2 linked regions of the Cricetulus griseus genome follow. The protein of the gene in region 1 interacts with the protein of each later gene in a pairwise test. Links are inferred from orthologs where the notes say so. Each region holds a gene or a part of one and is shown on either strand. Other genes may lie near its edges.

Region 1 (5,267 bases):
TGAGACCTCTGTGCTTGTTTCCTCTCTGTGGGCTTCATCTTTGCTTCCCCAGAGCCTAGAATGGTTTGGCATTCAGCCCACCTGATCTGCTGACTATGAGATGACTGAGCTCTAAAGAGACCAAACCAGGCCCTCTGAGAAGCCCTCCTAATTCTGTTACTGCCCAGCTGTGAACTGCATATCCTTTGCCTGACTGTGCGATGCTGTAACAGGAACCTAAGGGAAGGTTCCTTCTTGCAGATTCTTATGGCCAAGAGCACTTGGCCCACCTGGAAAGGTTCAAATACATGTCTTGCGTGGCATTCCCCTGCTTTGAGGGCAGAACTAGAGTCCCTAGTAGGGATGAGGTGACAGTCCAGGACTTAAGTTTAGGCTGACTTTGAAAAAGCTCTCTGGCCTGGCAAGGGGCAGAGAATTCTAAACTTAATGGAACCCTTCCTCATTCTCTGGCCTCTTTCTACAGGGACACAACACTGGTCTGCTACCTTTGAGAATCACTACACTGAACTTCCAGGAGACAGTAAATGTAGACAGACCAATATTAAAACTCTAATTACAATGCTGATAGGATAGTGGTCTCTTATCTCAAAGCAAAGGAAATATTTTGAGAGGGTTGTTAAAATTGTAATTTTTTTTTTTTTGAGAAAGGATTTCACTGTGTATCCCCAACTGAGAACTCACTCTGTAGACCAGGCTGGCCTCTAACTCACAGAGAGCAGAGCCCCCCCGCCCCCGCTAAAACTGTAAATTGTTTTAAAACACAAAGTAAATTACCATCAATCTTATATTGAAACCATCGTGCACAGATTCAGTCATTAACACTAAAACAAAGAACACAATCCTTTGCAAAATCCATTTATCTTAAATATTAACAAGTTTAGTATCTAAGATGTTTAAACTATTTTTATATCATAACTTTAACAACTTTTAGAGATTCTTATTATTTGAATAGTTTCATGCAAAATGTAATATAGTCAATTTACCTCTTCTGTCTCCCTTAAGCTACTACTTTTTTTAAATGAAAGCAACTAGCAGTTAATTCTGAAATACTTTACACTAGGACACCAACTAAAGACATTTTCTAGAACAATTTCTGTAGGAGAGAATATCAAAAATATGTGAAACCACCAGATGATAGCGCACACCTTTAATCCCAGCACTCAGGAGGAAGACAGAACTCTGAGTTCAAGGTGTACATAGTGAGTTCCAAGCCAGCAAGGGCTACACAGTGATAGGTGAAACCTCATTTCAAAACAGACACACAAACAAAAACTTCAATCAATTTGTTAAAGTTTACTTCTAGAATCAACCCATTTACGGTAGAAATTATTCACAGTTTTAGAGTCAGGTGCAATTCACAAACCAAACCACAGCACAAACACGTAGGCAGGCACACAAGGACCCCGAGTCACCCACTTCTTTCCCATAGCAATGGGTAGAAGGTAGTCCTTACCAAAAGCCTTCCGTATAATTCACAACTACCTCAGTATTGCAACAGGACACGTTATAACTAATCTTGATGGGTAAGAGATTTTGCCCAGCTGTGAGTACACGTTTGTAAAGACAAGTGAGCCTAACACTTGTGCTAGTTCGGCAGTAATGAAAGGCGAGACAGTTACCAAATGTTGCATGTGACCAGCTGACGGCTATGAAGAAGAAGAAGAAGAAGAAAAAAAAAGCTGCAAAGGGAAAGCAGCTGTAGCAGTATGAAAAGGAAAGTTTGTTCTAGCTCTCTTTCATCCACTTAGGTCGGATGCTTTTCCAAGTCACAAAAGAAACATTGTGTCTATGGCCCAGAAAGTTAGCTGAGATTGTGACCAAACTGGTCAGGATGAAAAAAGAATGTGAGCGGTGAGCTCAGCACAGATGCGATTTCTCATGATTCAGTTCTTTACAAAAACAAAAGCACTTGTTCAGGCTGGTGAGGAAAGGGCCAGAGATAAGCTTTAATCATGATTAAGGAAACCCCTCCTCCGGGATGCTGAGGACACCTGGTCCTTTCTGGACTTTGTGTTGCTGGATGTGAGCATGCACGTGGAGTCTCAGCAGAACCTGCACTTTACAGCTGAGGAAATCAGCTTTACAAATGTTAACTCACATGGTCACATATGGCTGGTCCTTTATCTCAATCTATAGTGGACTTACATAGGGATAATCTGTGATTATTACAGCCAATAAAAAAAGCATTAGACCTTGAAAGCCTCTAGGTGACACAACTATGATTATCGGTACCAGGAACTGAACCTATGGCCTCGGGAATGCTAAGCATGAGCTTCTGCCACTAAACTACACCCAAAGAACCACAGTTGGCTATTTACTGCAGATCTTCACCCCACCCCCAGCACACCCATATGTATTAAATAGCTATCTTTCGGGGGCGATTTCTTCAGGGAAAATTCATCCCTCTTTCTCCAGGAACCTATCCACTTGTCTCTAAATGCCATGACAGGAGATGCTGCCTGCATGACATCTTCTGACACCTCTTCTCAAGATCCTGTTGTAAATGCCTTTTGAAAAATTCAGACAGTATTAGAGGACTTCCCAATCCTTAGAATCCTTGCACGAAGAGTAGCTGGACAATTGCAGATAGAGACAAAGCAACTGCATCAGCACCTAACAACTAACTTCCTGGGAAAAGAAAAACGAGACACTCGCTAGCCCTGCAATGTTTCTCATGACTCTCTAACAAGCCTCATGCCCGGTCTAAGGCAGGATCTCCAGAACTGGCCTCTACTCGCAGTCCTTAAAAGTTTACTGAAACCAAATGCTTCTGAGCTTCTGCCGCACAGCCCCAAGTTGGGTGGTACAAGAAGATGAAGATGTCCGGTTAAGGTTTTGGGCACCAACCCCCATTGGGGCCTCCCTGAGTCCCACTAGTTATAGCCATAGCCACACAATAGTGGACCCACAGGCACACCGACCATCCGCAATGAACCGAGGCTGGGCCTTAGACACAGACACAAACACACACGGATATGGATCACGTGCATGGTCACAAGGACCGGCCCACCCGTGGACGACACTCACTAGTCACGCATGCTCGATACACACCCACCTACAACCCTACACGCACCACACACCCTCACTCCGCTTTCCAAGGCCTGCCCCTCACCTGCCGTGGCCACCCCCGCGTCCCTTTCTCTCCAGCCCAAACGGCTCTTCGGCCCGGTTCGGGCGCTGCGGAGGCAGGCGGCAGGGCGCGGGTGGGCCGGGCGGCTGCAGAGCAGAGGCTCCGCGGGCGCAGCAGGTAGAGGGGGCGCGCGGCTGAGCAGCCAGAGGCCGCCGCCTCCCAGGTCTGAATCCCGTAGCTCCCTGGGGCGCGCCTCCCGCTTCCGGGTTCTGAGGGGCGGGGCCGGACAGCGAGGAAGGGGCGGGGCTCTGGCGGTAACTATGACAACGAGGCTGGCGTGGAGCCCCGGATGGGAGCTTCTGTGCTCGCCCGAGCGCAAATGTATTGGAGCAATGCAGAAGCTGGCGCCAGTGCTGGCGTTGGGTCAGGGTCCGTCCTAGGTCACCTGTCTGACATAAGCACCAGGAGAAAGCTATGGCAGTGAAGTCTGTGCTTCTGCCTTCAGTTTTCGGGTGGCTCGTGCTTCGGGGGAGACATCTTTGGGTTCTAGCTTTGGTGAATAGAGCTTGATGTATTTGGTTGGTTGGTTTGGTTTACTTTTTGGTTTTGGTTTTTCGAAGCAGGGTTTCTCTGTGTAGCCCTGGCTGTCCTAGAACTCGCTTTGTAGACCAGGCTGGCCTTGAACACACAGAGATCGTCCTGCCTCTGCGCACTTCCCGCCTTGTGCATGCGCTACCACCGCCCGGCTATATATTCTTTTTTAATTAGCATAAGTTAATTAAATCACAATAACGGCTTCATTAGGACATTTTCATATCTACATAAAGTATTCTGGTCATCACCCTGTTAGTCTTTATCTTCCTCTCATGCTCCCATCTCCTCCCTCTTCTTAACTACATACTTTTTCTCAACAGAACTAGTTTTCTCTGTACAGTTACAGAGATCCTCCTCAGACCTCCTGTCCAAACTGTCTCCTTTTGCGGCTTTGTGCTGATGTTGAGGGGAACATACTCAACACTAGGCTTGCCCTCAGACACAGGTCCTCTTCTGTAAGGCTCACTCTAATCACTGTTCTTACAAAAGAGGGTGCAGATGTTATGACTCCTTTCAGTAAGTAGTTTTGCTCTGAAATAATGTATGATCATATTGAATTATCTGTAAATCTTGTTTGAAAAATTTTAAGAATCTTATAGCAAGATCTTAGTGTTTTAAGGAGAACTTAAAAATATATCTTTTTAAAAAAATTTTATTTATATAGCTTCACATGTCAATCCCTTCTCCCTCTCCCTCCCTCCCCAACCTCCCACCAGCCCCCCCTCCCCCCTCCACTCCCCAGGGAGGGTAGGGCTCTCCATGAGTGCTCCCCAAAGTCCACCACATCATCCTGGGCGGGATCTAGGCCCTTCCCTATGTGTCCAGGCCGAGACAGAGCATCCCTTCACGTGGGATGGGCTCTCAAAGTCCCTTCTTACACCAGAGAAAAATACTGATCCACTACCAGGGGCCCCATAGAGTGCCTAGGCCTCCTCATTAACATTCACGTTCAGGGGTCTGGATCAGTCCTGTACTGTCCTCCCAGACAGCATCTGGGGTCCATGTGCTCCCCCTTGTTCAGGCCAGCTGTTTCTGAGGGATTCACCAGCCTGGTACCGACCCCTTTGATCTTCACTCCTCCCTCTCTGCAACTGGGTTCCAGAGATCAGTTCAGTGTATAGCTGTGGGTGTCTGTCTCTGCTTCCATCAGCCACTGGATGAGGGCTCTAGGATGGCATAGAAAGTAGTCATCAGTCTCATAGGGGAAGGGCATTTAGAGTAGCCTCTCCACCATTGCCTAGATTGTCAGTTTGTGTCATCCTTGGAGATCTCTGGAAATCTCCCAGTGCCAGATCTCTCCTCGGACCTACAATGGCTCCCTCTGTTATGGTATCTCTCATCCTGCTCTCCTCTATTCTTCCCCCAACTCAACCAAAAATATATCTTTATTATTATTTATTTTTTATTATTATTATTTATTTTAATTGTGTGTGTGGGAGAGTATGTGGTCCACATGAGTGTAGTGTGTAAGGAGTGGAGAAGTGGGTTTTGGGTCCCCAAGAGCTGGCATTACAGCTAGGCATTTATGAATTGCCCAAGATGGGTGCAAGAGTAATATGCACTCTTAATCTCTGAGCCGTCTTTCAGCTCCTAGATTTTACTC
Region 2 (4,095 bases), on another chromosome or scaffold:
CTGGAATCAAAAGGTAAAACTTCTACAGCTGTTTGAGATCTTGCTATGTAACATGCTGTCATACAGTTCTGAATCAGAACTTAATTTTGGGAAACAGCATTTAATAAAAGGTGAACCTTATCAGAAATCTAACTTTATTGAAAATACTTACGTTTAAAACACTACTTTATTCAAATACTACCCATGTGTACAATTCGAAAACAAGCAGAATAGAAGTAAATGTTTTATTTTTCCAACTAAACTCCAGTGCTACAAGGGCAGTAAAACAATGATACACTGGGGGAGGGGGTTGGGGTGCAGCAATAAACATTTGTTAAAAAGACTGATAGAATAAATAAAACTACCAAAAAATAATAATAAAGGAAATCATATAAACCCATTCTGAAACCCCAAGAAAAGTCCTGAAATACAGAAATGCCCTCCTCCTCCACTATTTCACAGAAGTACTGTAGACTAACTGCTTAATTGTCCTGGGATTACATTCTAAATTATTAATAACTGGTTACAGCTTGGTTGTAGTGCACAATTAAAATCACACTAACTTCATCTGACGTGTCATTCTACAGTTTTATTTACATAACCAGTGAAGGGCATGTTCTAGAATGCCAACTTTAATCCCTTTTAAACATTAATATAAAGAAGCCAAATTGTAATGATACAGCAAAACGAGGCCACTGGTATTAATACAAGTAGCAAAGGTCCACATCCAGGTGGTAATGACATCACGGAAATTTCCAAAACCAATTGCTGCTGCCTAAGAGTGGTTGCCATTGACGAAAGCTTGAAATAACCTGTATTCACAGATGGGTACTGGCATTGCTGCGTGTCATAGTTGGGACCTCCTGCAACAACTCAACAAGGAACAAGGCAGCCCACAAATGCAAAAGGGTGATTCATGAAACATCTGGAGGAGAAAAGGAGTATTAGTGCAAAGAATGGGGCAAAATTAAAACATACAAGATAATGCATTGCTAACATCACCCCTAGATATTTAAGTAATCAGGGGTTACAGCATTTTACTTCTTTTGTAAACCTTTTCTCTACATTTTTTATCAACTCTTTAAATATGAAAACATGGTCACTTCAGTTTATAGTTCAAAGGTCAAATACTTACAACTAGCAGGCTGTTCTCCATATCGCCGCATTATCTGATCATGCGTAAACTTCACAAATGCATCATATTGTTCTACAAATAAAGTATGTGTCAATTACATGACTTGCAAGATATCTTATATAATGTATCTGAAAATATAAAGCCACATGAAAACACCTTCATCCATTCCATAACCTCCGTAGTAATTGTCAACAGCTCAGGTGAGTGTTTTCCATAGAATACAACATAAAAATCTGAATTCACTAATACTGTAGCTGATCTATATGACTAGTTCTTTCTTGGGGCCAATAAGGTGAGGAATGTTGATTTCCTTTTTTGCTGAAATGCTCTGGTTCATAGGCAACACTATCAATATATAGAAAAATAATTTCACCAATGTAAAACAAGGTGGGAATAATTCACTTCTTACAATGAGTTTTTAGGTGTGGCCATTCGATTCGAATAAGAATGGACCCCATAGGTTCATATATTTGAATGCTGAGTCACCAAGGAGTGGAACTCTGAAAGATTAGGACTAGGAGGTGTAGCCTTGAATGAGCTAGTGGGACAACCATAAGATAAAGCTTAGCATGCATACTAGTAAGTCTCTTGGGATCTGGTTGGTGACCCAAAACAAAAAAGGCTTTGAGGTTTCATAAGACCAAGGCAGACCTGGGCTTTCTCTTCCCAGGAAATCAGGATGTAGTTCTCAGTAATTGCCCAACACCTCTCTGCATGCTGTCATAATAGACTAACCTCTAAAACTGAGCAAGCCCCCAATTAAATACTTTCTTTCATAAGAGTTGCCTTAGTCATTATGTCTCTCCCCAGCAATAGAACAGTGACAAATACTGGGATATTCTAAACTAAATTCATTTTATTACCTGCAAGTTTTGTGTTCAGTATTTCTTCATATTCTTCTCGAACTTTCTCTTCTCGTTCTTTCAACAAACGTTCACAGATCATCCCAACCTGCCTTAGAGTAAATAAGGGCTGTTCTTTTTTTAATGGTGAGGATGTTGCAGATGAAGTACCTATGTACAACATGAATAAAACAGCACCTGATTTAGAACCATAACAGAATACCTCCTAAATGAAGATTTCATTTAGAACTGTCCCATGTTACTTAAAATTTATTCTTTATGATAAACAGGTCGGAACTAATAATTTTATCAGCCAATGACTCTGGAAAAAAGATATGTTATCCGAGGAAAAGCCTAAAGATAAATGGAGAAAGCCTCAAAACAAAATCATTGCAATGCTGGAGCCCATCACAAAACTTTCACTCTCCATCCCACTGCTTAGAACATTCAGTGGCTAATTTACAAAATTTCCTATAAAAGAAATATAACTCTGGTTTAAAGCTTCACTTTAATATTAGAGTAACACTATAAAGACTTATGTTATTGTTAATTGCTTATATTTTTAAGGCCATACAGTAAAGCCTCACAACCATCTTATACCACCACTTCAATATTCCTCATTTTTCAAACCGTTTAGTTTCCTATTTAGAAAGAATCATGTTTAAATAGAAAAAAAAAAAAAGATAGAGAAAATTACTACCCTTAAAAGGAGGTTGCTGTAGGGAAAATTCTGGAATGGAGATGCTTAATTTTAAAATAGAAATGATTTTAAGTTTTGAATAGTTACCATAATCCCTTAGTTCCTTTAATTCACACAGAACCAGTCAAAAACTGCAACAAATGATTTTTAAGCAAGAGTGGTTTTAGGAACCATAAAATATAGATGGCTTTTCCCCCTATACAGACTATCCTAGCAGATGTCACTAATGAAAACTGTAATGAAAAAAAGTACACAATTCGAAAAATAATCATGATCAGAGCTCCCTCTTTTAAGAAGTCACAGAAACGAACATTTCTGAATCTTTGTTCATGAGTCAACTTGCGAAGATGCTGGTATTCTATCCGTAAAGTTTTTAATACTGATTTGTGCTCACTATCTTAACAATTAGAATAAAGAATTTTCTCTTGTTACAATAACACAGAAGGAATATTCTTGATAATTTGATGTTGACAAACAATGGTGTTGCAGTTGCTTTGGGATACAATTGATACAATTGCTTTAGTTTGATAATTTTGGGGTTCTGTTGCAGACACCCTCTTCTGGCCTCTGTGAGCACCAGGCATATAAGTGGTATAAGTACATAAATACAGTCAAAAGTATAAAAATGAATAAAATTGGGTGTTTAAAAAGCACTGGTGACTTTTTTTTTTTTTTTTTTTTGGAAGTTACAAGTTAAACTTACACAGTGTCCGCTTTAGGGATGCTAAATAAAAGTGGCTATTGGTTGGTGGGAATCCAGGTGCTGATTACTTTTGATACTATGATTAGCATAATTTTGTTAATATTGGAGAAAAACAGGTGCTGTAAGTCATTACAGGCATTTGCAATATACTTCCCCATCATTTCTCACATAACATTTCTTTCACTTATTAAAGTTTCTTATTACCTGGTGACGCTGGTCCACTGATGAGAAATGCATGTGGCTGTGAATCAGAACTACAGCCTGGGTCTGTCTGCTGAAAACTAGCTTCTAAATGTCTTCTCTTCTGCATCCGCTTATACTCCTGTTTTATGTTGTACAGAATTTGTTCTAAATGGAAAAAAAGTAAAAATTTGGAAAGATCAAAATTTCACTTTCAACAAGTGTCCCATGCCTCCCTCCTCCCCCAGCAATTTCTTTGAGCACAGTTAACTGGCCCTTTTTCAAAAGCAGTATATCCTACCCTCTCCTGGCCTCTTTAGGCACATATATCTGGCAAATACCCCCAGACACACATATACACATGAAATGAAATTTTTTTAATGATCTATTATTTTTTCTTTTATCTACGTTGGTATTTTTCCTGCATGTATGTTTGTGTGAAAGTGCCAGATCTCTTGGAACTGGCATTATAGGCAATTGTGAGCTGTCATATGGGTGCTAGGAAATGAACTCAGATCCTCTGGCAGAAGAGCCAATGTTGTTAGCCACTGAGCCA

Evidence for each region. The genes of interacting proteins can lie anywhere in the genome.
Region 2: the proteins of Spg21 (region 1) and Akirin2 interact in binary tests that used the Homo sapiens proteins (3 or more experiments, as listed by UniProt). The two-hybrid records come from large-scale screens. The link is inferred for Cricetulus griseus from reciprocal best matches to the Homo sapiens genes SPG21 and AKIRIN2.

Annotation. Positions count from the first base shown.
Region 1 is NC_048597.1:177,057,681-177,062,947, reverse strand, and holds the start of Spg21 (maspardin), read right to left. Parts: upstream 3,332-5,267; 5' UTR 3,113-3,331; intron 1-3,112. UniProt on the Homo sapiens protein: May play a role as a negative regulatory factor in CD4-dependent T-cell activation.
Region 2 is NC_048595.1:107,493,203-107,497,297, forward strand, and holds the end of Akirin2 (akirin-2), read right to left. Parts: intron 3,708-4,095; coding exon 3,564-3,707; intron 2,128-3,563; coding exon 1,978-2,127; intron 1,187-1,977; coding exon 1,115-1,186; intron 905-1,114; coding exon 894-904; 3' UTR 211-893; downstream 1-210. UniProt on the Homo sapiens protein: Molecular adapter that acts as a bridge between a variety of multiprotein complexes, and which is involved in embryonic development, immunity, myogenesis and brain development.